Lonchura striata: one gene and its partners. The protein of the gene in region 2 interacts with the protein of the main gene of each other region in a pairwise test. Links are inferred from orthologs where the notes say so. Each region holds a gene or a part of one and is shown on either strand. Other genes may lie near its edges. The genes, in order: PCBD1, NTAQ1, LONRF1 and PPCDC.

The links.
Region 1: the proteins of NTAQ1 (region 2) and PCBD1 interact in binary tests that used the Homo sapiens proteins (3 or more experiments, as listed by UniProt). The two-hybrid records come from large-scale screens. The link is inferred for Lonchura striata from reciprocal best matches to the Homo sapiens genes NTAQ1 and PCBD1.
Region 3: the proteins of NTAQ1 (region 2) and LONRF1 interact in binary tests that used the Homo sapiens proteins (3 or more experiments, as listed by UniProt). The two-hybrid records come from large-scale screens. The link is inferred for Lonchura striata from reciprocal best matches to the Homo sapiens genes NTAQ1 and LONRF1.
Region 4: the proteins of NTAQ1 (region 2) and PPCDC interact in binary tests that used the Homo sapiens proteins (3 or more experiments, as listed by UniProt). The two-hybrid records come from large-scale screens. The link is inferred for Lonchura striata from reciprocal best matches to the Homo sapiens genes NTAQ1 and PPCDC.

Annotation. Positions count from the first base shown.
Region 1 is NC_134609.1:34,047,315-34,054,340, forward strand, and holds the start of PCBD1 (pterin-4-alpha-carbinolamine dehydratase), read right to left. Parts: upstream 3,004-7,026; 5' UTR 2,825-3,003; coding exon 2,822-2,824; intron 1-2,821. UniProt on the Homo sapiens protein: Involved in tetrahydrobiopterin biosynthesis. Seems to both prevent the formation of 7-pterins and accelerate the formation of quinonoid-BH2. Coactivator for HNF1A-dependent transcription.
Region 2 is NC_134603.1:12,563,059-12,570,290, forward strand, and holds the start of NTAQ1 (protein N-terminal glutamine amidohydrolase), read right to left. Parts: upstream 3,007-7,232; 5' UTR 2,974-3,006; coding exon 2,900-2,973; intron 2,326-2,899; coding exon 2,226-2,325; intron 1,587-2,225; coding exon 1,536-1,586; intron 1-1,535. Other genes in the region: ATAD2 (ATPase family AAA domain-containing protein 2), read left to right, coding at 3,348-3,554. UniProt on the Homo sapiens protein: Mediates the side-chain deamidation of N-terminal glutamine residues to glutamate, an important step in N-end rule pathway of protein degradation.
Region 3 is NC_134606.1:27,775,325-27,783,039, reverse strand, and holds the start of LONRF1 (LON peptidase N-terminal domain and RING finger protein 1), read left to right. Parts: upstream 1-4,711; coding exon 4,712-5,309; intron 5,310-7,715.
Region 4 is NC_134613.1:5,863,320-5,870,304, forward strand, and holds the start of PPCDC (phosphopantothenoylcysteine decarboxylase), read right to left. Parts: upstream 3,021-6,985; 5' UTR 2,779-3,020; intron 1,277-2,778; 5' UTR 1,265-1,276; coding exon 1,112-1,264; intron 1-1,111. Other genes in the region: SCAMP5 (secretory carrier-associated membrane protein 5), read right to left, coding at 6,270-6,464, 6,553-6,670, 6,830-6,931. UniProt on the Homo sapiens protein: Catalyzes the decarboxylation of the cysteine moiety of 4-phosphopantothenoylcysteine to form 4'-phosphopantotheine and this reaction forms part of the biosynthesis of coenzyme A.

The DNA of each region.
Region 1 (7,026 bases), on a different chromosome or scaffold from region 2:
CCTCTCACCTGCAACACCTCCCACAGTGCATGAGGTACTAAGAAATGATACCGAAGTCCAAAATACATTTGGATAAACTCCAAAATACATTTTCTTTTATATATAATCTTTCTGGGGAAAAAAAAAAAAAAATTAAAAAAAAAAAAAAAATTGAAAAACAGAAGCTCTTGTGGTCATTTCTAGATCTGAGAGTTGCTTTAGGGTTTCTAAAGTAGGAGGGCTTTTTTTAAAAAAAAAATATTTATTTATTTATTCATTTATTGGGAGCCTGCTTTTGAGGAGAAAGAAGTGGTGTGGATCAGAGATGAGTCACACTAAGCTGCAGTTCAGGTCCTTTTTTCCTCTCCTTTATATTATAATGGATTTTAAGAGGCTGTTTCTGCCTGTGAGGAACAAAGGGCAGAGGGAGGGATTGTGGTTGAGCTCTGCCTTGGGCAGAGGTGCTGGTACTTAGTTTTTAAGGGGTGATAGTGGGGAGGCAGCAGTTCTTGGTTTTGAGGAGTGTTTATAGGCAGAGATGAAACTAAAATGAAGCTCTTGGGGATGGGGGCTGCTTGAGCCAGCTCTGATCTGGCTCAGTGGGGAAGGCAGGAGCGAGTGCAAAGGGGCACTGCTCTCTGAAATGTTATGTCCTGGCAATTAAAATTCTTTCACAGACTCACAGATTGTTCTGAGTTGGAAAGGACCCACAAGAATCTGCAAACTCCAACCTCCTGCCCTGCACAGCCCCAAGAATCTCACCATGTGCCTGAGAGCATTATCCAAAGACTCCTTGAGCTCTGGCAGGTTTGTGTGAGTTGATCTTTCCAGTTGGTGATGATAAAGAGGTCTATGCAATTTATTTTCCTTTATGTGCTGTACAGCCAAATGTGGCAAGTTGGATATGAGTCTTGACAAACCTGGCCCAGTTTTTTTTGTGGGTATTTGATCAGCAGTCCCTTGAGATGCTTCGCTTGGGCATCAATACTCAGAAATGGCATTGGGCAGCTGAAGCAAATCATCCTCTCCTGTGGCTTCCCTGCTCACAGGCTGCACAAAACCGAAGAACCAGCTGTGAAACTGATGTTTTGGTGGGTGATTCTTACATGTTTTGGGGAAGACAGGAAAGATGATACCCCATTCCAGTGGCTCTGTGGATGCCTACCTACCTGTATATCCACACCCTTAGAGTGCAGGGTGTCACTGGGGGTGGGATGCTTCCTGTCCCCCTGGCATTGCAGCTCTGTGCAATGGATTTTTGGGGAAAGTGTTCCTTGCCTCTGCATATTTTGGATGACCCCCTGGCAGCCCTGGCTCTGTCATCCCCTCCCCACCCCCTAAAAGTCAAAGTGCTGTGCTGGGAGGAAAGGTAGTGAGCAAACATGACTTAGCTCAATAAACCCAGAGCCGTTGCCCTTCCCTGCTGATGGTGTGATAAGCCAGGCAGGTAGCTTAGCAACTGGATAAGGTGGGGACAGAGGATGGCTCTGCTGGCAGGGAGCCACCCGCGGGGCACTGATGGGAATAGGCTGGGGCTGCACCAGGATTTGGGAGCACAGGATGAAACCTGCTCCTTATCCGTGCTAAAGAGAGGAAAGGTAAAAGCTGGAGTTGTTGCTTGGAGCAGAGAGGTATGGATGCAGGGGGCTGGGCTCCAAACCAGCCTTCTCCAGGCAGAGCAACACGGGGACATGGTGTAATTGTTCTTTTTCTCCGCTGTGACTCTGTGGGAGAATGGCCTCCGGGGCTTTTTCCAGCCCAGCTCCTCCCAGCACCAGCGGGAGGCATGGCCAGGCTGAGGTTTGGCACCTAGAGCACACAGAAACAACTCCTCTGGCTGTGTCGGAGAGCAAACCCTCTTCCTGGAGCACCCCCTGCCCTCTATCCTGCTCCAACATCCTCCTCCACCCCAGGATATTGGCCAGCAGGCTGGTTTTGTCAGGGTGGCATGTTAATGCTTTCATGTGCTCTCACTCCATAAAAACACACTCTTCTTGTTAGGAAAATCAAATTATTTTGTTTTATTCTGCTGGCTCCTAACTGCCAAAAAGTTTGGATTTTAATTTTTGGGGCTTTTTTTTTTTGCCAGCAGGAAAACAAGTAGATGCATTGTGCAACTGAGGGAAAGGAACCAGCAAGGGAAATGATGAAAGACTGGAACTCTCTTTGCTCTAAAATCTTCTGTTTTATAGAATCATGGAATGGTTTGGGTGGATGGGACCTTAAAGCCCATCCAGTTTCACCCCCTGCCATGGGCAGGGACACCTTCCACTATCCCAGACTGCTCCAAGCCCTGTCCAACCTGGCCTTGACCACTACCAGGGATCCAGGGGCAGCCCCAGCTGCTCTGGGCACCCTGTGCCAGGGCCTGCCCACCCTCCCAGGGAAGAATTTTTCCCTAATGAAAACTAGAATTTCCACCTAGGAGAAGGTACAGGGGAGCCCAGGGCGAGCGGGCAGGGCTGGAATGCTGTATCCCACAGGGGTCTTTTGCTGCCGTGGAAAAGCCGACTTCCAGCCGGCCAGGGCGTGCTGGGGGCTGTGCACATGGAGCACACCTGAGGGTCGTCCTTGCCGTAAAGAATGTGAGGGGAGGTCGTCCTTGCCATAAAGAATGTGAGGGGGGTCGTTGCTGGCGGATCCTTTCCCTCCCCCTCCTCTGCCGAGCGCTCCTCTGGGAACGGAGCCGCGGCGGCGGAGCTCCGGCGTTACTGATTAACCACAGCGCTGCGTTCCTTTCCCCCTTCCCTGCTGCCTCTCCTCGCAGCCTCCAGCTGCCGCTGCAACATTTCTGCCTTCCGAAAGGCACGACAAACAGCCGGCTTGCCCAGCGGCGACTTACCATGGCCCGCGGCTCTCCGTGCCCGCCGTGCCTGGGGATGCGCGCCGTGCCTGGGGATGCGCGCTGTGCCGGATCCCGCCGGAGCCGGGGCTTGTCCGCGATTGTCTGGGAGGCGTGGCGAGGCCACCGGGTCCACCCACGGCCAGCAGAGCCTTCCCAGCACTGGCCTCCTGCCTGTGGGGTGCGGGGGGTGGCCAGACAGGGTCTCTTGGAAGCCCTGCATGATGCGCTTTGCCCCCGAGCCGCGCACCCCTCTCTTCACCTGGGGCGCAAGGAGAAGTGGAGCGACATGGAGGGGGCATGTAACAGAGTAAAGCCATGGTTGACTCTCACAATTAAAAAGCAAATATCGTCTGTATATGTTAGAAGTTTTATAGACTTATGTTTTACCCCTCCCCCCCCTTGTGTTGTTATCCTGGGTTTGGGATATTTGGGAGGGCTGGCTTGTCACTGTGGCAGCACCTGGCCTCCCATCAGAATTTAAGGAAGTAAAACTCCATCACTGGTCAGCGAAGGAGTCCATGGACAGAACTTTGGGAGGGGTTTAAGGGTTAAAAGGCGAAACCTCCATTGTGTGGGTGAGCACATAGTGGAAAAAAAATATCCTTTGCTCCCGGCCCTGTAATATTTTCTCTATTTAGTCTTCTGTTGTATTTTTGATAAGGTTTTAATAAACCTTTAAAATTTGTAAAAGTGAGTATCATTTCTCACAGGGCAGCTGCAGCCAGCCCCGCTGGATACTGCTAGCAGGTGTGAAGGAGGCTGATGGTGCTCCCGGCTGTATCCATAGCTCAGAGCACCGATAATCACCGTCCGGGACAGTGTCCGGGTTATATCGACTGAGAGGAAGGAGAAGTGCCCCTCACAACATTTCCCAGCATTTTTAAGGCGTTTTTTGCTATTGCTGAGTGCTGCTCCCTGGCATTTTCCCTCTCCAGGCCAGATGGATTTGTGCCCATGTCCTGCAGCTCGTCATCTGCTAAACCCACTCACATGATGGGCAGTTTTCCAGTGCTGACCATTTTTATTGTGCTGCTGTACGTGGCAGACAGAAATTCAGCCCCCTGCTATTCCCTCATGTCTTTCTTCACCTCTGAAGCAACCAATTCCAGATTTTTTTTTGGATACAGAATGACATACATCCCTTGTGCACATTTTGTTTTCTGCTGTAAGGGATTGCAGGTATCATAGAGATGATTTGTTTTTCCAGCAGTCAACTTAGAGGGAAGCAAATCCTTCCTTTTTATTTTTTTTTAATTTTTATTTAATTTTTTTTTTCCCCTTCTGCAGGTTTGTTTGCCAGGGTAATGAAAAGGAAAAAAATGACCATCTTTTTTGTCCAACAACCGGGCAGTTGAGGTTTTCCTCACTCTACAGGGTGGAATTGTGTTCAGGGGAATCCCTTGGCTGACTCCAACTCCTGAACCTCTAAGTTCCCCTTCTGTACAGTTTTAATTTCCCCATCTGAAATGGCACCCTTTAGGCTTGTTTTTAATGATTAATTCAGGGGTGTTGGGCAAAGTGTTTGCTCAGAGCAGTTTGTACCCTGTGCAAGGGGTGAACCTGTTTACTGGGAACAGATTTTTGTTCTTTTCCCCTCTCCTTTTTGTCTATTTTAAAGCTGTGCTGCTTTTGGTGGCAGCTAAACCCACATGTGTAGATGATTCTGCATATTTGGAGGGAGGTCTCATGTCACTCACTATTAGTATTCTTATTTTGATGATAATTTTTAATCAAAACATATCTGACCCTGAAAGCTGCTTTGCTCGGGAGCAATGTTCTATTTCCCCTCTAAAAATTTGCTTTTGCAGGGATAGATGGGATATTGGGAAGAAATCCTTCCCTGTGAGCATGAGGAGGCCCTGGCACAGGTTGCCCAGAGAAGCTGAGATCCAAAGGGTGTTTTAAACCAGGGTGGGCCGAACTCTTTCATCATCTGCAATCTGAAACATTGCTCTCATGGCAAAATAGATTTAATTAAAGAGTTTGTTTAGCACTGGAGGGGATTTATGGCAGGTGTGACAAGTTTAAGTTGACAAAAGGGCCCAATAAACAGAAATGAATCATTAATTATGTGCAAGATTTCCTCTTGTAGCACTGTTTTATCAAAATCAGTGAGGCTCTCAGAGCAATGAACAAAATAAAGTGGAGGCTGGCAGAAACTGGGGCATTGTTCTGCTCACACTGTGTGTAGGCTAAGGTCTTTTGTCTCAGGCAGAGTACCCTGCATGAAAAATAAGATGGAAAAAATAGCAATAAAATGGCATAACCACTTCTAATATGTCAAACACACAAATCCCAAAGTGGGAAGTGACTGCTTTCAGGAATATCAGAGCATATAGCAGTGAGCAGTGTTTCATTGAAGGGAGGTCTTGGTTGGATATGAGGAGAAGTTTTTTAGAGAAAGGGTGATGAAGTTCTGGAAAGGCCTGCCCAGGGAGGTGTTGGAGTCACCATCCCTGGATGTGTTAAAAACAGACTGGATGTGGCACCAGGTGCCAGGATTTTGTTGAAGTGTTGGGGCTGGTTTGGGCTCGATGATCTTGGAGGTTTTTTTCGACCTGGTCATTCTGTGAATTCTGTGACAAATCTGAGTTTTTCTACAGTTTACAAGTGGCTTTGGATAAATTGCTTAACCATCCTTGATTCCCATTCCCTGTGCTAGCTTGGATACTCATGCCCAGTTTATTGGGCTATCTCATGAATTATCTGGTATTTGAGAAGCTCTTAAATCCATGTAACTCCCATATAACAATGAAATGTGATCGTGCTTTTAGATCAGAACAACAATAATTCATAACTCAGCACATTTTGTTTTGATTTTCCTAAAACTGTCTGAATTCAAGTGACAGAGAAATATGATTCACCATATTCATGACTACTTCTCAGGTTTTCCAGAGGATGATGATGCAAACCTGAGTCCAAAGTATCCAAGAGCACTTTTCTGTGTCTGAAAAACACCAATCACTTGTCTTTAAAAATCTTGAAAGTTTATTAGTAATAAAACAGTTATAAAATAGTAATAACATTAGAATAATAAAAATTTGGACAATGAGGTTTAGCAGAATATGAGACAATAAAAAGCAAATAATTAGGGATGTCCGGATGTTTTTGGACACCGAGCTGTCAAAAACCTGCCTTGTGAACAAAGGAATAACCCTTAAAACAATAGCCTGTTGCATATTCATATATCTCATACATGATGCATAAATTCCTTGAAAATTAAGAATTTTTACGTTTTTTGTCAATTTCTTCCTCTTAATCTTCGTGCCATAAAGATGGAGAGAAGGTGGAAGAATATTTGTCTTTTCTGATAAGGAGGCCATAACTCTTTATGTGCCCTGTCACTGTTATCTCTGTGCAAAGAGTTTCTTGATTATCTTATCCCTTTCTTGAGCTAGTAAAAAATATCTTACATCCCATAGTTTCTATTTTAATGTTATGTTGTAACCTAAAACTGTATTTAACATACTACTTAAAAGGATTAATACAGTATTACAAAATAACCCTCCATAATACATATAGTATTCAATTTAATATTTGCAAAGAGCCAATTGTAAAATATGCATTTTTCACACTGTGAATCCCTTTTCCCGTGTCAGACTAGTGCTGGAAGACACCTCCCATTCCAAGGCAATTCTGGCATGGTTTAGAATAGGAAACTCAGACCTGGGACACAATAATCCTGTTTGCATTCCGAGTTTGCCCTTGCAGCCACACAGGAGGCTCTGGGTCCAGGCAGCTGACGTGCCCCTGTGTCACAGGTCTTTTCTGCCAGCTTCCCAGGAGTTTGTTCGCCCCATGGGCTGTAGCAGACAGCGGTGAGATCACTGAGTCTGTGGCCTTGCCAAGGTCACCCAGGACCTGCAACAGCATGCATTTCCCCCAGGGGAAGGCACTCCATCCAAACTGCCTCCTCCCCAGACCTTGTCTGCTCTGCCTTGCTGATGGATTATTCCTGTAACTCTGCGCTTCCCTGGGCACAGCAGGAGCCCGGCACAAGGGAAGAGCCTTGTATTCACTCAGCTTGTTTCCTGATTTTCAGCCCAAATTTGAGTCTCTTTGTTAAACAGGTTGGATTTTCTGGCAAATTTGCAGGGGTGGCGGAGGGTGAGTATCTCGACAGGTCTGGAAACCGTTTTCCCATGTTGAAGAGTTTTGTTCCGTGTTTATTCAGGCAGGGCTCGGCGCTGCATGTTAAGCGG
Region 2 (7,232 bases):
TCGAGTGTTCAGCTGCCAGAAGCACCTGAAAAACCAGCACACCACTGAAAAACCAGCGAACAGCTCGCATCAGGAGGACCACAGGGGTAAGACATTTTTTCCCAGCTTCAAGAGCTGCTACAGGAAATTATCTGTGGGTACTACATCACTTTTTCAATGCAACTATTTTATCAAGACTTTTAGGTTATTCAGTGCAGTTTTGACTTCTTAACTTGTAAGAAATACAGGTGGAGATTTGAGGACACTGCAGTTACATTATAGGTCAGGTATGTGCACTGCCATTTTCCAAAATTAAATTGAAGGTAGCCCCTAACAACTTACTTTACATTTAATCCACTCACAAAAAGGGTTGAGCACTGTCTTTTGACACTCTCAATATTAAAACCACAAAGAAATTTAAATTAAAAAGATTTGGGCAATCTGCTTCACCAGACCAGTATATATATACACAACTGTATTCAACAATATTTAGAATAACCCATTAGAGAGTATAAGAAAAATTAGTTTACAAGTTTTACACAACCTATCATTCATTGAAATGTCAAAGTTAAAAGACCTTTGAATGCTTGAATTTTTACGAGAAATCCACATTCTGCCATGGTGTTTCCTGACTCTGCTATTCCCTTTTAGGTCTTCTCTGTAGCACTTGGATCTCTTTTTAAACCAAATCGTTTTTGTTTTTTTTTTGGTACTGGAAAGCTACCAATATTTTGGAAGAAAGTGAATGATTCAGAAATCAGAAAACTTCACAAGTTTGCAGATTACTCTGCAGAACTTCAGAAACAGAAATTGCCACAAGAAATAGTTTTTTCTGTACCAGATAACTGAAAGGACTATATAAGGATACCAAGGATACCAAGGAATTCTGCATCAGCAATTACTGAACTACATTGACTGATCAAATGACACTTCAAAGCCACTGTTTATGGGTCAGTTTCACTGCTGACACCTAAAAACACATATAACTTACACTCTTCTATCATCTGGCAGGCCTACATAAATATGTTCATCCATCTACTTCTTACAAGTAGAGTCATCTACCTACAATACCACAGAGCTGGCAGCCTCAATACCCAGATAATAATTTACACAAATCTATTATGCATTCTTACTATAATTAAGATCTGTCACCTATAGGTTTTACTGATTGTCCTGCTATTAATTTATGAAGGAGGGTGCAAAGGAGCACCAGATTTAGGCTATTTATAAATCTGTTGTAAAATAATTATAAATATTAGTACAAAACAATGCTATGTGTGAAGTTGGAAGGGACTTAAGGACATCAACCTGCTGCTCAATGACACTCTCCTAAAGCAAACTGCCCAGGACTGTGTCTGGATAGCTTCTAAAAATATCCAAGCATGGAGACTCCACAACCCCTCTGAGCATCCTGCTCCAATGCTCCATCACCCTCGGAGTAGAAAGTGTTCCTTTATGTTCAGATGGAACAGATTGTTCCATGCCCATGTGTGATCCTGCAGCTATCAACTACAGAGACACACACTCAAAATTTTTGAGAGTAATGAATGTCTTACCCAGACAACAGGCTCATCTCCATGTCCAGATTTCTGCTTCCAGAGTGGAATCTGAAAGTTATAAATGAACCTGAAGTGAATAAAATCTTTCAGATTAATACAGATTCCTTTCAGGCAAACTGGCTAGTTCTTTGCTAAGCTATCAATTTCTTCAGCTTACATTTGTATTGCAGTAAGAAATTTTTTCTAGTTTCTCTCTCAGGAGCATGAAGTTGGAGATACTATTCTGGACCACATTAAAAAGAAGTGTGATGGAATCACCATCCCTGGAAACATCCAAAAGACTTGAGGATATAGTTTAGTGATGAACACAGCAGTGCTAGATTAACAGTTGGACTTGATGGTCTTAGCCAACCTTATGGTTATTAATGGTTCTATGATTTTATAAAGATAACTATTCTCCTATATTGACAGATTACAAACAGAATTACTCCCACAGCTCACAGGGTCACCATGCCTCATTCTACTGCCCTGAATGCAGTGCATAATTAAAAGATCTCAGGCGGTGTGGTTGGCACACCTCCGAGGCAAAGTGAGCTACAAAACAGGTTTGGGGTGTATCTCACCTACAGGCTGGGCTAAAGGCTCACTTCCCAACACTGGGCTGGGACCATTCTCACCTGCACCGGGCTGCGGTCGGAAGGCCCGGGCTTTTCCCTAGCTGGCTCTGATCGCATCCCCTTGACTCACCATCCTCTTATCATTGGATATGAAAACAGCATAAAATTCTTCTAAAGGGTACCGATCCTGACTCCTGATGTAGTCACAAAGCTTCCAAACGTTTTCTTCGCTGCAAAACACAATAACCGGTCGTTGATTTTGTTTTCCTCCAACTGCATTTTTCGTGCCGAGAAACGAGCCCTGAGCGTGCTCAGCCCAGAGCCGCGCCGCTCCCGCCGGCGGCCCGGGCTGTCCCGGCGCCCCGGGCTGTCCCGGCGGCCCGGGCTGTCCCGGCGCCCCGGGCTGTCCCGGCGGCCCGGGCTGTCCCGGCGCCCCGGGCTGTCCCGGCGGCCCGGGCTGTCCCGGCGCCCCGGGCTGTCCCGGCGGCCCGGGCTGTCCCGGCGCCCCGGGCTGTCCCGGCGGCCCGGGCTGTGCCGGCGCCCCGGGCTGACCCGGCGCCCCGGGCTGTCCCGGCGGCCCGGGCTGTCCCGCGCCCCGGGCTGACCCGGCGCCCCGGGCTGTCCCGGCGGCCCGGGCTGTGCCGGCGCCCCGGGCTGACCCGGCGCCCCGGGCTGACCCGGCGCCCCGGGCTGTCCCGGCGGCCCGGGCTGTGCCGGCGCCCCGGGCTGACCCGGCGCCCCGGGCTGTCCCGCGCCCCGCGGCCGTGCGAGGGGCACCGGCTCAGCCGCCCCCGCCTCCCTTACCAGTAGCAGCTGCTGTAGGTGCAGGCGGGGCGGGGCGGCACCGCCGCCTCATAACCAGCCTCGGGCCGCGCCATGGCTGCTCTGAGCGGGGCTGAGGGCGAAGCAGGAAGCGCTGGGCCCGGTGGAGGCAGCCGCTACGCCATTCCCGAGAAAACCGCAGCCATCCCGGCTGGGCGCGGGCACTTCGCAGGTACAGCCGGAGGGGCGGCCGGCGGCGCAGGGACCCTCGGGCGGGGCGGAGCGGAGTGGGACGAGCCGGGCCAGCCCCGCCCCGCGCCGCAGCGCTCCGAGTTTTGGGCGCCAAACGCGCGGCCGCAGTGCGCCGCGTGCCCTTCCGCCGCGCGGGCGGGAGCGGCGCCGCAGGCGGAGCGGGCGGGAGGGAGCGCGGCGGAGGGATCCGGGCGGCGCGCGCGGCGGCGGGCGCGGGGCGCGTCCCGTTCCCCCCGCCATGGTGGTGCTGCGGAGCAGCGCTGCCTGCCCGCCCCGCATGGCTGCCCGCGACAGCCGCTGTCGCCGGCCCCCCTTCGACCTCCTGGAGTCCAGCTCCGAGTTCATTTCGCTGGAGCCCCCGGCGCTCAGAAGCCACCGCGTATGGACGCGCTCCGGGTCCGCCAGGGCCGCGGTGTCCAGGGGCGCCCGGAGGGCCGAGGAGGCCGTGAGTGCGGGGGGGGTGGGGTGAGCGCGGCCTGGCGGGCGGCGCTGCGCTGGGCCCGGCCGGGCGGAGGGGAGGAGCGGAGAAAGCGCTGCGGAGTGGTGTTCCCTGGAGGAGAAAGGGGAGAACCGAGTGTTTGGGGCAGGCGGCTGCGGCTGGGGGTGCGTGAAGAAGCAGCCGGCCCGCCCGCCGTTCCCGGCCGCCCCGCGGCTAAAAGGGGCTCGGCACTAGCCCTGGTGCGGGGGCTGTGGCAGCGTGCTGAGAGCCGGTCTTTGGCAATACTAACCTGCATCGCCTCTGGTTTGGTGTGTTGTATGCCATTCCCCATCCCCGTTTATTTTGGTGCAATTCCTATCTGAAAAAGTTACCTTGAGAAGATCTTAGAAAGCTCTTTGCATCGGTTGCGGTAATGCTTTTAGAGCGCTCTCTGTTTAGATGACAGAAATGCATCAAAGCCAGCGCGACACGAAATACATGGGACCTCTGAGTGCGTTCCGCTTGGCCCGAAGGGCCTGCTAAATACTCCTTAGTCAATTGTATCCAAATAGTGCTTTGTATGCTCTAAAAAAGAAAATGTTTAGAAATCGGGGCTCATCTGTACTTAATTAAAGCGCATAACCTAAACCAGTGAAAATGTTACTTGAGCTTTCTTGATTATCTTATTGATAATCTTTCTTGATAATCTTGATCTGCCCTACTAGAAGATGGTAAAGGATAGATATCAAGTGGCCTGTGCATCTCAGCATTGCAACTGTAATAACTGAATCATTTCACTTTCCATTGTTTTTAATATAGCTTTCAAAAAACTAAAACTTTGCTATTTCCAAGTCAGGCTCTACTCTGCAGGCTGTCCTGCATTTCTGTGACAAATAAAGGCAGACCTGATCCAACTCAGAAGTGGTCTGCTCTTCAGGGGAGCCCTACTTTGGAGTGATGCTTCTCAAAGACTCTGTTTCCTTCCAGCAGAAGTCTTTCATGAGTCTCAGTTGTATGAATTAATTTTATATTTTTACATTTTGTGCCATTTTATTCAAGACTACTGAACTAAAAAGGAAAAAAGTCCTTGCAGTGGTGGGTTTTTTTACCCCCCCCCCCCCTTACAAAGAGTCATGGGATCTTCTTAAAGATCACAGCTTTGTTTTTGCAGTCTCCACTAGAAATGTTTGTCAGGAGCTCGTTCAGCCTTTGCACAGGAGGGAAGGCTGTGCAGCATTAGGCAGATAACACTGCTGGCATGTCATCAAGACAGGAATGAGGAAATTAAAGTTATGCCTGAAACCAAAGCAGAATCATAGTTATGAAACTGGTTGCAAGGTTGTTTTTTGGGTTTTTTCCTTCCTTTTTGTCAACCTTTCCTGTGCTTTGAAGTGAAGTCATCACCCCATTTATAGGATGCTGGGCTCTGTTGTGGGTCTGTGTATAAATAATGTAGAAGTGCTCCAAGAGAGATCATGAGAACTGGTGCTAGCTTCATGTTCAAGTCCTGATGCCTCTTTCGTGTCTTGATGTGCAAGGACATGGTAGTGGCAGCTTTTGGGGTTCTTTTCTGATATCAGCATATTGTCTATGTTTAGTTATACAGCTCATTTCATCCCTGGGCAGTAAGAAGCATACAACAGGAGATCTAAGGTTATCAAACATCTGCTGGTTTTATTCTCTTCCAGGCTTCCAGTCCCAGAAAGTTTCATGAGTGAGTCTCCCAGTGACATCCAAAGTGGCTACTACCCCTTTGGAAGCCCTGTTTCTCCAGGTCTATAACCCTACTTGGAGGTTTATAATTCCCAAAGCTGAACAAGTTTGTTCTTGTGAACTATATTTGAGTTCCCTTTTTGTCTGGGCATTCTTACCTGTATCAGAAACAATGTGATCAGCAGGACCAGGACAGTGATTCCTGTACTCAGCAATGGTGAGGCCACACCTTGAATCCGGTGTCTAGTTCTGACCTCTCAAGACAAGAAAGACATTGAGGTGTTAGAATGTATCCTGAGAAAGACAAGAGCTGAGAAAGGTCTAGAAAGTAATGAGGAGCAGATGAGAGGTGGGGGTATTTAACCTGGAGGCATGGAGACTCAGGGAAGACCTTATCACCCTCTACAACTACCTGAAAGGAGGTTGTGGGTGATCAATCTCTTCTCTCAGGTAACCTGTGGCAGACCAAGAGGACATAGCCTCTGGCTGCACCAGGAAAGGTTCCGGTTGGACATAAGGAAGAAATTTAACACAAAAAGGGTGGTTGAGTCTTGGAACAGGCTGCGGAGGGAAAGGCATCACCACCCCTGGAAGTGTTCAAGGAGTAACTGGATGTGGCACTGTGTGCTGTGGGATCCCCTTGGGGCCTGTAGAAGTGTGGGTGTCCAAGTGGTGTAGCAGGTCACTGACTGTTTCCTCCTGGATTGTGGCAGCTTCCTTCTGCTCTCTGTCCCTGTCTGGGTATCATGAGGACTGCTGGTCTTACTGTTGAAGACTGAGGCAAAGTACTTCTGCCTTTTCCTTATCCATTCATCCATTGCCATATGCCATTGCCTGTGCATCAAGTGAAGGATGGAGATTCTCTTTAGTCTTCCTTTTCTTGCTGATTTATTTGTACAAATGTTTTGTGTTGTCTTTTACAGCAGTAGTTAGATTAAATTGTGTTTGGGCTGTGGCCCTTGTAATTTTCTCCCTGCATAACCTTTCAACATCTTTGTGGTCCTTCTTCACTCATCATCTCCATCAGTCAGTGGAATTATCTCTTGGTAATATTAGTGTGAAGAAGTAGAATAGTCCAGTCTGTTTTCTGCCCTTTTTAGTGTGAGATTTAGTTTGGCATACTCACAATGAGACCTTGGGTTGTAAATGGAACAAGCTGCTTCCCATGGTCATCGCAGCTTTCCTCACATAGTAAAAGTCGATAGCATCCTCCTTGCAGAAACATCAATGTGAACAAGATGAACATCCATGAAGAACTATATGCTGAGTTCCCTTTGGTTTTCTGTGGATAAATGCTACCCTCTGCAAGGAAGTATTTTTATATCCCTCTGAATGCCATTATAAATGGAACAGAGACAGGAGGAAAACTCTTCCAAAAAGATCTTAATCCCAGTACTAGGAATTTTTTTTGTTGGATTAAAGCTATAGAAATCTAGCAGAAATGAACCCCCTTAGGTTCCAGCTGCTCCTCAGAGATCAGAAGAGCTGGGGGCAGCTGGGCCTAAGCTGTGATTATAGCCCATTGGACACTGGCTGCCTGGCCGAGTTCAGTAGGCACTTGCAGGATCCAGATTTGCAAATAGGGCAGGTAATTGAAGTGACAGGAAAGCAGATTCTGAATTGCTGGTGGTAAATGCACCAGCTACAGAGTGTTAAAATATGCTGTTACAGAAGGAATAGTTACAGAGATCTATTAGCAGTAGATATAAGTGAATATTCCCAGGTCTGTTCCAAGACAGTTGGGAAGCACAAAGCTCACCTGAAAGTGTCCCTTCAGGGATAAGGAGTGACACAGTCCATCAGCTGATCCAAAGCAAGCAGAGGGACTTTCCTCTCTCTCTTTTGCTTATTTGGTTGGTTGTTGTTGTTTTGGGGTTTTTTTGCCCCAAACCCCTCCTTTTGTAGTGTAATTTTTGGCCCTTCCCAAGGGGTGGAACAACTGCATGTTATAGGTGAGATTTTGGTTACTGGGATCACTGAACCAATTTTGAA
Region 3 (7,715 bases), on a different chromosome or scaffold from region 2:
CATTTGTATCTTAAGACTCAAAACTGTTTTTGGAGATGAGAAGAGACTTCTCAGCACCACAGACAAACTAGGATTCTGGTAACTGGGAAAGAAGAAAGGAGGCAAGCATCTCCTGGGTTCTGGGTGTCACTGCCCCAAATCCAAAATCACCTTCAGGGCTCTTTTGACAAAGTGGGCAGACACCTCCAAAACTGTAATTGAACCAAAAATGAGGATATAGAACCAGAGAATCATTTAGGTTGGAAAATACTTTTGAGATCAAGTCTAGCTGTTAACACAACACTGCCAAGACTACTGCTAAACCACATTCCTAACTGGCACATCTACATGTGGTTTAGACCCCTCCGTAGATGGTGAGTCCACCACTGCTCGAGGCAGCCTGTTCCAATGCTTGACCACCCTTTCAGTGAGGAAAGTTTTTCCTATAGCAAATTTATACCTCCCTTCGGGCAACTTGAGGCCATTTTCCCATTCTATTGGTTGTTTCTTGGAGAAGAGACCAACCGCTACCCCCAGAGCATTGATCAAAATATGAAACCAAACTTGTCCCAGTACTGAGCCCTGGGGAACCCCAATAGGGCCTGGCTGCCAAGTGGATGTCACTCTACCCACCACCACTCTCTGGGTCTGGCCATGCAGACAGCTTTTCAGCCTGGAACACTGCACATGTCCAAGCCATGAGCAGCCATGCTGCTCCAGGAAGCTTTCTCCAGGAGAAGACTGTGGGAAACACTATCAAAGGCTTTACAGACCAGATTCAGTCTGTCCCTTATCCACCGGCAATTGCCATACTATTATACTATGAAGAATTCAGATTTCACACTGAAGGGAAATCCCAATGAGCACTTGACTGTTTGTTAATTAGCAGTTTATTTAGACAGCTAAAAACTGGTTTTGTGCAACAGAAGTCACTGCATTTAACAGATTTCATACAAATGCTAGAATTCTTGCCTTTGCCAAAAGAAAAAAATCTAAAATAAATCTTGTTCATTTAAAATTCTTTTCTTTTGGAAAGACTAGTCTCTGGGATGAACTCTAGTATCCTCAGCTGCTCCTTGTAGGACTTATGTTCCAAACCCTTCACCAGCTCTGTTAGCCTACTCTGGACTTGTGTCAGCACCTCAACATCCATCTTGTAGTGAGGAGCCCAGAACTGGACACAGCACTTGAGGCATGGCAGCAGCACTGAGTGCAGGGGGACAATCACTGCCCTGGTCCTCTTGGCCACACTACTGCTGACAGTCTAGCCCTGTTCAGCTTACCGTAACTACCTTCTGAGACCAAGCTGCAAATGCAGCTTTTTGACCACTCCTAACTGAAAAAAAAATTCAAAACCAACTTTTGCCCACCACTACGTTGCACAAACAAGGATTAGTGTCTGTTTTACTGCAGTGATGCTGAGGATTTTTCCATTTAAAAATCTCTCTGCCAGATCTCACTAAAGCCCCAAAATTCTACTTAACAACCATGAAAATCTGAAACAAAACAAATCATAGTTGATTCTGAGCATCATTTCTTAACCAGGGCTGAAGGAACTCAAGCATTATCAGCTAAGGTCTTCAAAAGCCATTCAAGAATTTTAAATATGGCTTGATATTTCCTTTTTTTTTTTTGGAGTTTTTTTTTTTTTTTCCCTAGAAGAAATGATATTTAAGTGTTTTGTGGTAGAAAAAATAGTTTTCAGGAATATTATGCTTTTCTAAGTATGACTCTTATTTGCCTAATCTTTCTCTTGTTAATTTTATTTTGCCTCTGCTACACATTTCTTTGCAAAAAGTTACAATAGCTGGGTAACTAGCATTTACCTTCACAGAAAAAGAGGAGAAACAGCCAGAAAGCCATTCTTTCTCTTAGAATACAACCATATCTTTTGGGTTAACTACTTCTTCATGGGGTATATGCCTAGAACCTGTAAAAATGGGGCTTGGCTCCAGATTTCCAGTATGTAGGCATTAATTTTTAGGTCCACTGCCTGTTCCCTAATCTGGGTTGGTCTTGCTTTACTTTGTTTATACTGCTACTAATTTCTGAAGACCTTGAATCACAATAACTGTGCTTAATTTAACTAAAGTGGGATCAAATACAACTTAAACTACTGTTTTATTGTCATCTCATGTAGGTTGCACACACTACTCATACAAGGAATTGCTTCAAAAATGTCCAACCAATACCTTAAAAAGCATAAGAAAGGAATTACTCCTATCTCACTATACTGAAGGCACAGTGCTCTGCAGATACCTTCCTGAATGAGAACCACCAACGTCCATAACCAGCAGTACAATACTGCTCTACAGCAGGAAGGGAAACGACAGTCCCTGAAGTCTTTCTTAGAACGGCCCACATGAACTGCACAATGGCAAGGCTTTGCTATTTTAAAATATCATTTATCTGACCCTACAAGCAAGGAAAAAAAAAAAAAAAAAAAGGTTTTTTGAGTGTGCTATTTTAATGGAGTGGTGGTGGAGCTGCCTGTTATCTAATCTTGAAAATGTCTTTTTCCCTCTCTTACATAACGATAACATCCTGATGGTAACACAGTAAAAATGTTGAAATTTGAAGGCTTTTTCCTTGTTTAGTTAAATATGCCAAAGGTGGAATAATACACCAAAACCAAAGCTCAGAGAATCAACTGTAGTTCAAAGACACAAGAGTGTTAACATTGGGTAATTTCACAGTCTAACGAGGCTCAGTATCATTTCCAACATGGATAAAAAATAATGTCTAGAGAATAAGGACCAGGTGAATATATAGTCTAGCTTTCTTGTAAATAATCTCCGAGATACAGATATTTCTACAACTAGTGAGAGAAATAAAAAATGTCAGGTTCCCTACCCATATATTCATTCATCCTACTTCAAATCCCTTTTTTCACTGTTTCAGTTTTGCAGGGAAAGATAATGGGGAAAAACCTCAAATCTTCTGCTCCAAGATGTTAATGCTGGCAAAGCCATGAGTATTTTGTGCCTTTACACTGGAAATTATGTAAAACAGCTGATTGCATTGATTGCTTGAATCACTAATGTATGAACTTTAATAGGAATTATGGTGGCAATGGTGGAAACATGTTTTCATTTCTACTGTTTTAAATTGTTTCATCAGAGGACAGCTTTACTATTCTAATTCCAATCCCACAAGCCCTTGGGGTTTGTCCTGTTTTATTTGTCTTCTGTATTTCCACAAGTAATCTAATCTGGAATGCAAAATAAACTACTGTTTAACAGTACTTCTTTCAGAGAAGTACTTTTGTCCAAATTGGCTAACTCAAATTCTTTGTGAGGGGCCAACTCATGCTTGACATGTCCACACCAGAATCCGTAATCTATTAAAACCATTCATAATAATTCAAAGCAATCCTCAACATCCCATCACAACTCAAGTTCATATTACAGATATCTACTTTACTTTGATCCTTAGATCAAAAGATAAAAAATTTCCTAACTCACTCAATTTTTTAATTGATTACGGTAAGAGACCATCTTTCCTATCCATATTTAAAATATACCCATGGTGCCCTCATGCTTCAATTACCATAGCATCTTTTTTCTTTGACTTTAGGAACTTGAAAGCCACTGGCAAAGGACCAAGCTTAGAGTACTGAGGTCAGACAAAACACTTGAATGTAAATCCAGATGTGTCTAGTTATTTCCAATCATGCCATGTTTGCCTACAGCTCTCTTAACAACCTTTAGCATCATCTTCCAGCCTGCCATACATGGAACACAGCTGAAGATATATACAGCTTTGCTCCTTTCGTACAGTCATATATTAATTTTCTTGATGTGCAAGCTTTCCTTGGAAGGTTTTAAAGGTACTGCTATATTTATCTGAAACGTCTGGATATATGACAGACTTCTAACGTTAAAAAAAAAAAAAAAAGGCACTGTAACAATTATAAATACATAGCACTTATGCAATAGGCTTCAAGCTTCCTTTAGAGGCTGGCGTTCACCTGGAAAGCCTGAGCATTTCCCAGTGGGACTACTTGAGGCGAAACCGATCAGGTGCTTCCCCGCAGAGCCCGCCTCGGCAGCACACTGGCGGGGAGCGCGGCTCGCTGCCCGCCGGGCGCGTCCGAGTCCTGCGAGGGCTGCGAACACTCGGGGAGAGAGGGGGGGAAACAAGCCCTAAGGACAAAGAGCTTTTCCTTAACCTTGTAACTTTTATCTTATCGTGTCCTCCATTAAAAGACTAACAAAGAAGGAAGAGGGGCAAGCCCAAGCGGCCCAAGACGAGTGCGAGCAGCAGCCGCAGGGAGGGCGGCGGGCGCCCGCCGGGCGATGCCTCCGGGACCACGGCAGCTACAGAGCCCCGTTCCCCGCTGCAGACCCCTCTCCCGGCCCCGGTGACTGTCCCTCTATCCCTGCCTCCCGCACAGCCCTGCTAGCGCCCGACCCTCACCACGGCAGCCGCTCCCCGGAGTCAACCCGCAGGGCCGTCCCTCTGGCCCCGCCAGCCGGCCCGGCCGGGGCGCGCCCCCTGCCCGGTGCCGGCGGGCCGCGGGGGGCTCCGGCACCGCCGCCCCCGAGCCGGCCGCTCCCGGGCGGGCCCGCCCCGGCCCGCCACGTGACCGCGCGGCTGGCGGCGCGCGCGTGGAGCGGTGTTTTGTAACCTCCCCCCGCCTCCTCCCGCCCCCCGCCCGCGCCGAGCCCGGAGCCCGTCCCGGCGGCCGGAGCGGGAGCGCCACACCCCCTTCGCCGCAGCCGCGCAGCCGATGGCAGCGTCCTCTCCCGCCGCCGCCGTGGGCTCGGAGCTGCCGCCGGAGCCGGGCGGCAGCGGGGGCCCCGGCGAGGGGGCGGACGAAGAGCGGGAGCTGCCGCTGGCGCGGCTGGTGCCCGCGAGCCGCCTGAAGGAAGCGGTGGGCGCGTCCCTGGCGTCGCTGTGCCTCGGCCCCCTCGGCGGAGCCCAGCGCCTCGGGACCCTCGTGGACTGCCTGGTGCTGAACTACCGCCTGCGGCAGGGGCCGCGCCGGGGCCGGGAGCGCGGGGCCGAGGGGCCGCTGCGCTGCTGCGGCTGCCGGAGGTTCCTGGGCGAGCCGGTGACCGTCCCGTGCGGGCACACCTATTGCCGCCGCTGCCTCCGCAGGGAGCTGCGGGCCCGCTGCCGCCGCTGCCGGGACTGGCTGCTGCCGGCGGGGGGCACCAGCACGGCCGCGGCCCCGCTGCGCACCAGCGTCGTCCTCAACCGGCTGGCGGAGAAGTGGTTCCCGGGCGAGTGCGAGAGGGCGAGGGCAGGGACTCGGCTGGAGGAGCTGCTGACCCAGGGCCGCTTCCGAGAGGCGCTGGGCGCCGCCAACCAGGCTCTGCGAGCAGGTAAGGCTGTGGGGAGCGCTCCCTTCCTCCGCCCTGCCGCCCGCCGGGGCCGCGCGGGCTCCGCCGGTGCCGCCCGTGTCCCGGCGGGACCGGGGCGGGCTAGCGGCCCGGGGCGGCAGGCTCGGGGGGCTGGGGCTGTGGTGGAGTAGGTGGATGCGCCCTTATCCCCGAGTGCGGCGGGACCGCCAGCCATCGACGCGTGCCGATGAAGAGCGTCCGAAGTTTTCTCGAGTTTGAAGGGATCCGAGGAACCTCTCCATTGGGAGAGCGGAGTGGAGGGGACGCGCGGCTGCCCGGCCCTTGGTTGGGCGCCCAGCCTGCTAGTGGGGTACACCTGCTTCTGCTTACTCCAGAGGGGTGGGCGAGCGTCCCGCATGGGCTGCGGTCTGTCTCCCCCCGCACGCTTCTGTGGGACTTGTTTACAGAGGAGTCCGTGGGCTCTGCTTCGGTTTGTGTTGGGTAATCGCTGTGCGCGGGCAAAGAGAAATTCCGTTGGTGTATTTAACCTTGTTTCCTGAGAGAGAGAGACCTATTTTCAGTCTTAAGTGTCACCAAGACAATTCCCAGCAGGCCGGGCCGAGTTGCATAAGCAGACAGGCACGGAGGGGGACAGGTTGTGTAATGGCAGTGACATCATAGGTGGGTGTGGTTGGAGTTTTATATAGTGTTGAAGAGGGTCCAAAGAGGGGAGGTAGAGGCACGCTTTTAGGCTATCCTATATCCGTCGCAATCTGGCTGGTACCATGGACTCCTAAGATACGCTCAATTTTTCAAAGTTTACTCTTTATAGAGAGTCAAATTTATGTGATTGATACACCTAGATGGATCCAGCGAGGGATTCCTTCGTTATTTTAATTTGACTATGGATTTTAACACCTGGTGACATGGGAGGTTCTGTTATGAATTATACCAGGATATTTTTTTTTTCTGTTCGGTAATTTAGAAATTAATATTTTTACAGATTAAGTGTATTACGTTTATACAGTTGTCTGCAGTGGAGATAAAAAACCAAAAGCTTGCATAAGTCTAATCCTTCCAATCTGTTCTGGGGAGATACATTAGGTCTAGCTCCAGAATAAACTGTTCTCAATGTAGGTGGGATTAAGTCGAATATCTATTTTATATGCTTTTTGGCAACCTAATTTTAAGGGGTTTAGCTTTGGTTATTGATTTTACTTTATTTTCCAGGGTGTTTCCAAAGTGTAAGAATACAAGATGGATTTTAAATCTTGAAACTATAAGATGCAGACTTCTTCCTGAAGTACAGCTTTGACTCATACAGGTCAAAAAGAAATCTCAGTAGTTTCCAGGGTAAAATTGATGAATCCAGTACTGATCACATATGTTTACAGGGCTCCTTTTTCATGTTTCAAGACTGCTTTGAAAGAATAAAAGACTGAAATAATTACACAGTTTTTGTTAATCTTTCTTTTATGGATTTAGGAAGATTATTTAGATATTCCTAAATATGGGGAAAGAATTTTGATTCTTTTTTATGTGAATCTGCATCTTCTTTTTGGCTTCAAAATGGGTTTGAAATTTGAGTATACTTACCAGCTGTGATGCTTGTTCAAAATTTTATTATTCAAGTTCAGTACATGTGCTATAATTAAGTATTAGAAGCTCAGTTTAAGGTCCATTGTACCGTTCTTTCCTGTGTCTTCAATCCTTACAATTATCAACATTACACATATTCTGGAAAAGATACTGAAGAACTTTGGGCATCAGTGTGTAGGCATATGTTATGTGAATTTAGAACTGCGGATTCACAACCACAAATTGAAGATGATTCCAGGTCAATAGATAAATTAATAGCTGCTGGTATACTTTCCATGTTCCTTCAAACCTTGAATTTTGAAGACACTTAGAGATGGAAAAGATGTAGCATAAGAAATGTGTTCATGTTTAAAATAATTCGTGTTCCATTTCAGCGTTTCCTTACTGCTGCTTCATCTGTTTCTTTTTAATGCACATAGATAAAAAGTTGTGATAAACTTAAATCTGTCCTAAATACGTCATTGATGGTAAACCTCTACTCAAATGGCATCTTTTCATAACTTTCTTCTCTTTCTGAAACATTTGAAAGAGTCGTATTTGCCCTTATACAAAAGTGACTTTAAAAACCAAAATAATGTTAACATTCATATAGCTAGTATATTCCTTGCTGAAATGAAATAGCTTAGTTAAAGGAGCTCTTTTAAATTAAAATACAAGTGCAGCTTGCCTTTAATCAAGTGTCCTGAAACACACCACTAGTGGGTTGAATTTGATCTGATTCTCACTCATTCCTTCTCGAGTGGACATCAGGAGATACGTTGAGCAATCAGTCTCCTGTTTAAGCAGAACAAATACTGTGATCAGAGCAGTTTGCTTGAGGTTTTGTACAGCTGGATCATGAAAACCTAC
Region 4 (6,985 bases), on a different chromosome or scaffold from region 2:
AGTCTGCACTGGATGTCACAGACCTCTGGGGCTGCACAGAGAGCTGGAGTCCAGCTGTCTGCAGCTTTTAATTATGAAACAAACACTCAGAGAGAAGCAAAGGGTTTAAGCCACCCTCTACCACGGGTCATTCTGCCTATCAGCTGCACAAAAGGATGTCTCAAGCTCCAGGAGCAAAGGAAAATGGACAATAGCCAAGCTAATCCAAGAGGGAGAGGATTAGAAGATCTCTATCTCTGGCTCTGGTCACCCCATTCCCTGATGTCATTTTTCTTTGTCCTTCTTATTTCAGGCTGGGACCTTTGACCTCACTGATCACATCAGGCTAAATCATAAATTAACTGAGGCCTCACCTCCAGCACCGTTTCCAGTTTGGATCAAGCAGATAAACCAACACCTTCTCTGCCTCTACTGTGCCCACAAGGTACAGCCTCCCAAGTCATCCCAAAGGATATTCATGCAGCAATCTCGTCAAAAAAACTGCAGATTTCAGTGCACCCTCTTGCCCCTGCCACTTTTTTCTTTCACTGCTCCAAAATATTTCCTGTATTTCTAAACACCTAAAAGTTTTCTGTGTTTAACTTTATCCTACAGCAGAAAAGGCACATTTCCCTCCCTGATCAGTCACCAGTGGCCCCTGCTGGGCACCTCTGTTACTCCAGAAAAAAACAGTAAAAAAATACCATACAAACCTATACAGCAGCAGCTTGTGTTCTCCATTTCTGGTTTTACAAGGTCTGTTTTCCCTTTCTGGATCACATTTGGAAAAGCCATATCCCACCCATGGAAAACTGCAATACCCTGGAGATTTCAAGTTTCAGAAGCATCTCTATCTGCAACCACGTCTGATAACTTGACTGACAAGAACAAACTCCAGGAAAAAAAAAAAAAAGAAAAGATACAAAGCAAAAATCTTTTCAAATATAAAATGGTAAGAAAGAAGAAAGGGGGGAAAAAAGGATTTTTAAAAACAGGTGGAATCCTCCTCACAGAAATTTTTGAACTAAGGGGCCCCGAGGAGGAACTTGTCATTTCAGCAGAAGCCACGTGAGCACTGCTCAGAACCAGGGTAACTCCAACTTTACAAAGCTCCACCAACAGCTTCACTCACCGCAGGGATTTTCAGCAATTCCGCGACCAGCAGGGGCAGCTTGAGGGCAGCCACGCTTCCAGTCACTCCCACCAGCACATGGAACTTTTCCTGTGCCACAGATGAGCTGTTTCCTGCAGCAGTGCCTGGTTCTGGCAGGGAGATGGGCTCCATGCTCCAGTGCAGCTGTGCAGGCACAGGAAAACAAAGACACTGCACTAACAGAGCCTCCCAGCACAGCTCCAACCCCAACACATTCCCAAGAGGATCTGACCTGGACTCTGCAGGACCCAGAGCCAGCCAGAACCATGGGATGACTCTGGGTCACCCCCCAGGTGCCACTCATCCCACAAGGATTTCAAGCACCAGCAGAACTTTAAGGGTAGCTCAATGTTTAATTACATTTTTCTCTAAGATACTGGGAAACAGGCTCCTAAAATTTGAGCAGAGAGGCCACAAAAGCATCCTGGTAAAGTTCATGCCCTCCAAAATTAAGACTCCCACATGTTGAACACAGTCCAGAATTTAGGGCAGATAAATAAATCAATTTGAGATAAAATTTTACGCCAAGTTCTCTAAAAGCAAACAAACCCTTGCTGAGTTGCTTTCCCTCTGTACTTTCTGGTGATTAATAAATGCACAGAGATGTCTTAATAATTAAAAATGTGGGGCCTCTCTGCATGCACAATCTTGTTTCTCACTGTGTTCCTAAATATTAACAGCAGCACTAGACAGAATTCCCTAGCAGCTCTAATTTAGGTCTGCAGCTTCCTCCTGGCCTTCCTATGCTGCTGCCACACTGATAAAAAAACAGGAATTAATGTTTCGGTGGAGAAAATGACACAAGTGTCTCAAATATAATCAATCAATGATTAAGCAGCAACGAGTAAATTCAGTTCTTGAAAAATCACTGCAACCAGTAAAGTTTGTTGCATTTTAGTGATGTCCTTGTTGCTCAAAGAAAGTGTTTGCAATCACTTTGGGCGGAAAGAAGATGGACACAGGCTGTGCTGATGATTTGGGAGGAACTCAGAGTCTGGAGAGAGGAATTTCACACGACCACAGCGTGGTTTGGGTTGGAAGGGAAATTAAAATTGCCAAATACCACCCTCTGCCATGAGCAGGGACACCTCCCACTAAAAGCCCAATTTCAGCTTTGCTGATTAGCAAGGGTAATTAAGAGGTGAGGAAATGTAGCAGAACATTGGCTGAGAGATTTTAATGCCACCACCACACTTCACATATTTATCTATATCTAATTAAAATCAGATTATGATGATTATTTATAAATTATAAAAGTTATTATCTACTTAAAGCATCCTTTGGATGCTTCCAAAATGTGCACAATTCTACTGAAGCATCCACAAATTAAAGCCTGGGTATTGAAACGTACATTTTTAAGTAGGAAACTTTCCAAATGGTTATAAATTATAAAGTAATGATGAAAAGGATAAAAATTATAAAATTAGAAAAGAATTATTAAAATAGTAAAATAATGGTAAATACAGTAAAGCAGTGGTAAAAAGGTCAAATTTTTAAATGGTACAAATATAAAAATAGCGGCAAAAATCGCAAAATAGTGGTAAAAATTATAAAATAACAGTAGAGGATTATAGTAAAAGGTGTATGTACAGTAATATATGTAATATAACGATTAAAAAACCTGTTGGGCCGCGCTTTGCTCTTACCCAAACACAGCTGTGGGGAAGCAGCCACTAGAAAACGAGCAATTTACAGGCCCCTAAAGGTTCATTAAATCGACTTTTAATGCGGTAGCGGTGCTGAAAGCGGCTCCAAAAGGCCGCACAGCAGGACCGGGAAGCCCCGGGGGCCCGCAGAAGGTGAGACACAGCGCTCCGACACCGCCCCGGGCAGGGCCGGTGGAACCGGCAGGGCCGTGAGGGCCGTGAGGGCAGCGGGGCCGCGGCGGGGGGCGGACCGGAACTGGGGGGGGGGGGTGGTGGTGCCGGGAACCGGCGCACGCACGGCGCTGATTGGTGCGCACTGCTCCCGCTCTCAGCGCTGATTGGTGCGCCTTGCTCCCGCCCACGCACTGATTGGTGCGCACTGCTTCCGTCTCTCAGCGCTGATTGGTGCACACTGTTCCCGCCCTCAGCGCTGATTGGTGCGGGCAGCGCGCGCGGCCGGGGGGAGGAAGGGGTGTCATGGCGGCCCCTCACGGCCCCGTCCCGGGTCATGGCGGCAGTGCTGCCACCCTGAGCGCTTGGTGCCACTCTGTGCCCCAGTCGTGCCCACGCGAGACATCTCGCCAAGGGCAAGGGGGTGGCTTCAGGCTGCTCAAGAAGCAATCTTAACGGGGATTTTGGCTCGTGGGGAGGTTTTGGAACGGAACAAAAGACAAAAAAACTCGGCGGTAGAAGGCGTGTGGGGAACGGGGTCGAGGAGAGGGTCTGAGGGTCCCTCAAGTGACAGGGTGATATCTGAGCCTAGGAAAGTGCTAGACACCAGGAGTGAAACCTTTCCTTTGGGATTCAGGGCAGCCACACACAGTTGGCAGGGGAAAGTGGATTAAAGGACTGAGTATTCATTATCTGAGGGACAGACAGGATGAGGGGAATGGCTTCCCATGCCAGAGGGCAGAGTTAGGTGGGATAGTGGGAAGGAATTGTGCCCTGGCACAGGTTTTCCAGAGCAGCTGCGGCTGCCCCTGGATCCCTGGAAGTGTCCAGGGCCGGGCTGGATGGGGCTTGGAGCAGCCTGGGACAGCGGAACATGTCCCTGCTGGAAGAGCTGTAAGGTCCCTTCCCAGACAAACCATTCCATGATTATGCAGGCACAACAGATCAGGGGCAGCACGTGGTGCCCAGCCCTTTGCAGTTTTTTGGACATCCCACTGATACTTGTTACGAACAAGCAGCAAGGACAGAAGAGGCAGAGAGAGCAGTGCTCTGCCGCCTGCAGGACATAGAAGGTGACAAGGAGACCTCAGGAGAAGCCCTGTTGTGTTCTATGGGAGGCCTCTTGCCTCTTGCAGGAACACCCCATCTCTCCCACCCCGTGGGCTTCGGGAGCACCACCACGCTTTGATCACACCTGCATCAGCCCCACCTGGAGCAGGGACAGCTTACAAATAACCAAGGTGAGAACAAGGGGTTGAGTTTCCCACCTGGCTGGAGCCACGGGGACATTTCAGCGCTCACACACTCAGGAGACACATTGGAGAGGAGGGTTAGGTGCTGAAGCAATGTCTGTTAGTTACAGCTCGTTACAGTTATTATTGATGCATCTTATTGTCAATGCAAGAGGTGAAGTCACTTAATCCATCATTTCTCAGACACGGATGACAGAGCACGTGGTTTGGCAGAGTTAAGTTTTAGGCGAGCTAGAAATGGATTGCACAATATTTAAACCTGATTAAGTACATAATAGGCTTAGCGAAGGATTACTTTTCTCCTGACATTTTATACATAAATATATATACACACACACACACAGACAGGCATTTTATCAGTAGCTGCATTTTAGTCTGGTCAAGAGACGACTGCCTATTGCAGAATGACTGGAGTGACACCCTTAAAAAAGAAACTAGTCTTGGTGTGCTTTGCTGGAGAAGAGAAGGTCCTTTTTGGGGTGATTCTCAGGGGTAGGGGTCACATCCAAGCATCACTGGAGGGGACAGATAGGGGGCCTGGGACTTGCACAGTCCTGGCTGGTGGCACACTGAGCTCCTTCCCTGTGCCAGGCAGGAGATACTGGAGCCAAAGGCTGGATTGGATTCTGTTTGGGCTGCTTTTCGAGGACTTGGAGAAAAATTTGGCTTATTTAAAGTGCATTTAGAGTTGAAAAGCATCTCAGAGAAGTAGCTTTCCCTACTCCTGCCCTGCAGCATCCATCCCATTTATGCTCCCATTCATAATCTTTTCCAGGGTGTGCCAGTCACTTTCCCCAGGAAGTGTTGGTCTGAGCTCAGCTGCCTCCTGCTAGGGTGCAGGATCATTATTTAATGTCCGACATCCCCAAATTGGGCAAGGATTTGGGCTTGAAAGGGATTTCTGCACCAGGAAAACACACAGCCACATCTCACCAGGCTTTTTAGGAGCACAAGTGAGCAGGAGTCCTTCCCTCCAGCCTGGAGGTCTCCTTAAGAGAATTAAATTAGCACAAACCTCCAAAGCTAACGGGAACAAATCTTGGCCTGGCTATTTCCATGAGCAGGGAGACTGCTTGGATGTCCTGGGATACGGGGTGGCAAGATTTGACCCGCAGCCTTGCCCAGGCATAGGTCCTCTGAGGAACGCTCTGTGGCTTTTACAGCTGCTTTTCAAAACAGAAGCCTTAAAAAAAAACAGACTCAGGATGCAGAATCTGTAATGGGATGGTTGTATCCCACAGGGAAAACCTGTCCTTGCTCCCCAACACACACACACACGTGCACACACACACACACTGGTCCTCCACATCGAAGTGTAAACTACTCACTTACAACACCACACACTGAGAGAAGTTGTAGATCCTGAGCCAGGGTGTAGATTAGGAATCTCTTGGCTTCCAGCATATCAACAGCAGGATTGAGGGTTTCTTATATTTTTTTCCCCTTTTTCTTTTTTTTTTGTTTTTTTTTTTTTAATCCTAAATCAGCCAGCCACCTGCTAGTTAAAAAGCAAAAGAAAAAAGGAGAATTCCCAGGATTGCTTGCCCTTGCTGAGACAGTGTCAAGTGGCTGGACACTACCAACTGAAAGAGAAAACTCACACACATCAAAAACCCAAAGTTCGGGGCTTATTCCAAGAGGGAAGATGGGTGCTGGTTGCTCTTTTTCCCTTTTTGGGGGCATGGGGGGGCTTTTGGCTGATGAAGTTCTAACATACACCTACCACCACAGTAATTAAAAAAACCACCACCGTACACTATTCCACAGGGTAAAAGAAGACACGTGAACGGACACTGACTACCACACACAACAAGAGCCCTGCAGGTCAACTCACGGCCTCTTCAGAATGAAAAAGAAAGGAGAAAAGAAGAGCTCAAGACAAGAAAAACAGAAAAAAAGAAAAAAGGAAAGAAAAAAATCCCAAAAGATCTCGTTACAAAGACGGGAAAAGAACCACCATTATGGTACACTCTGACTTTCTGAGACAGCTGCAGAAACTCGGCTCAGGCTTCCTCCTCCCTTTTTCCCCCCCAGCTCTTCCTCCCGAGGACAGAGTCCTGCTGCTGCTCACATCTCGTTGGAGTAGGTGTAGTTGGGGGTGGCCGAGTACTGCGTCTCGTGCTGCATCATGGCGCCCTGCGCCGCCCCCATGGCCGCGTTCTGGGCCGCCTGCTGCACGTGGGGATTCTTCCAGGCCCCCGTGGTCCACTCCTCCTGCGCTTTGCTGAAGCTCCCGCCGCTGCCCCGGTAAAACTTGTGCACCTGCAGGGAAAAGCCAGAGGGGCTGAGCGCCTGGGGTGGCAGGAGGGGCACCCAAAGCGATGTGGAACCCCTGTTTTTCCTGCCGTACCATGGTGAGGGCAATGAAGGAGAAGACTGCCATGGCTGTGAAGAGCACAGTGGGGATCAGCATCACCACAGCCGAGCCCACGTTGGTCCCAAAGAAGGAAATCGCTGCAATCCAGCCACTGCAAGGAGATGGAAACAACTGGTTCATTCACCAGCTCTCCCCTACTGCCAGAACCCTCCCAACTCCTCAAACCATCTTCCCCAAGGAGAGAACCAGCAAAGATGCTAAAACACCACAGTGACCACCCTTGTACCCAACACAGCAGCATTTTCCTTACCAGACCCCCCATCCAGGGATGCCCACTGCCTGGATGATGCTGATCACCAGCTGGGCCATGAAGGTGAAGAAGAAGGCCATGAAGCTGAAGGAACTGTCTGTCCTGCAAGAGAATGTTCAGTCACTCCTGCACCTCCATCCCTGCTGCACTCCAAGG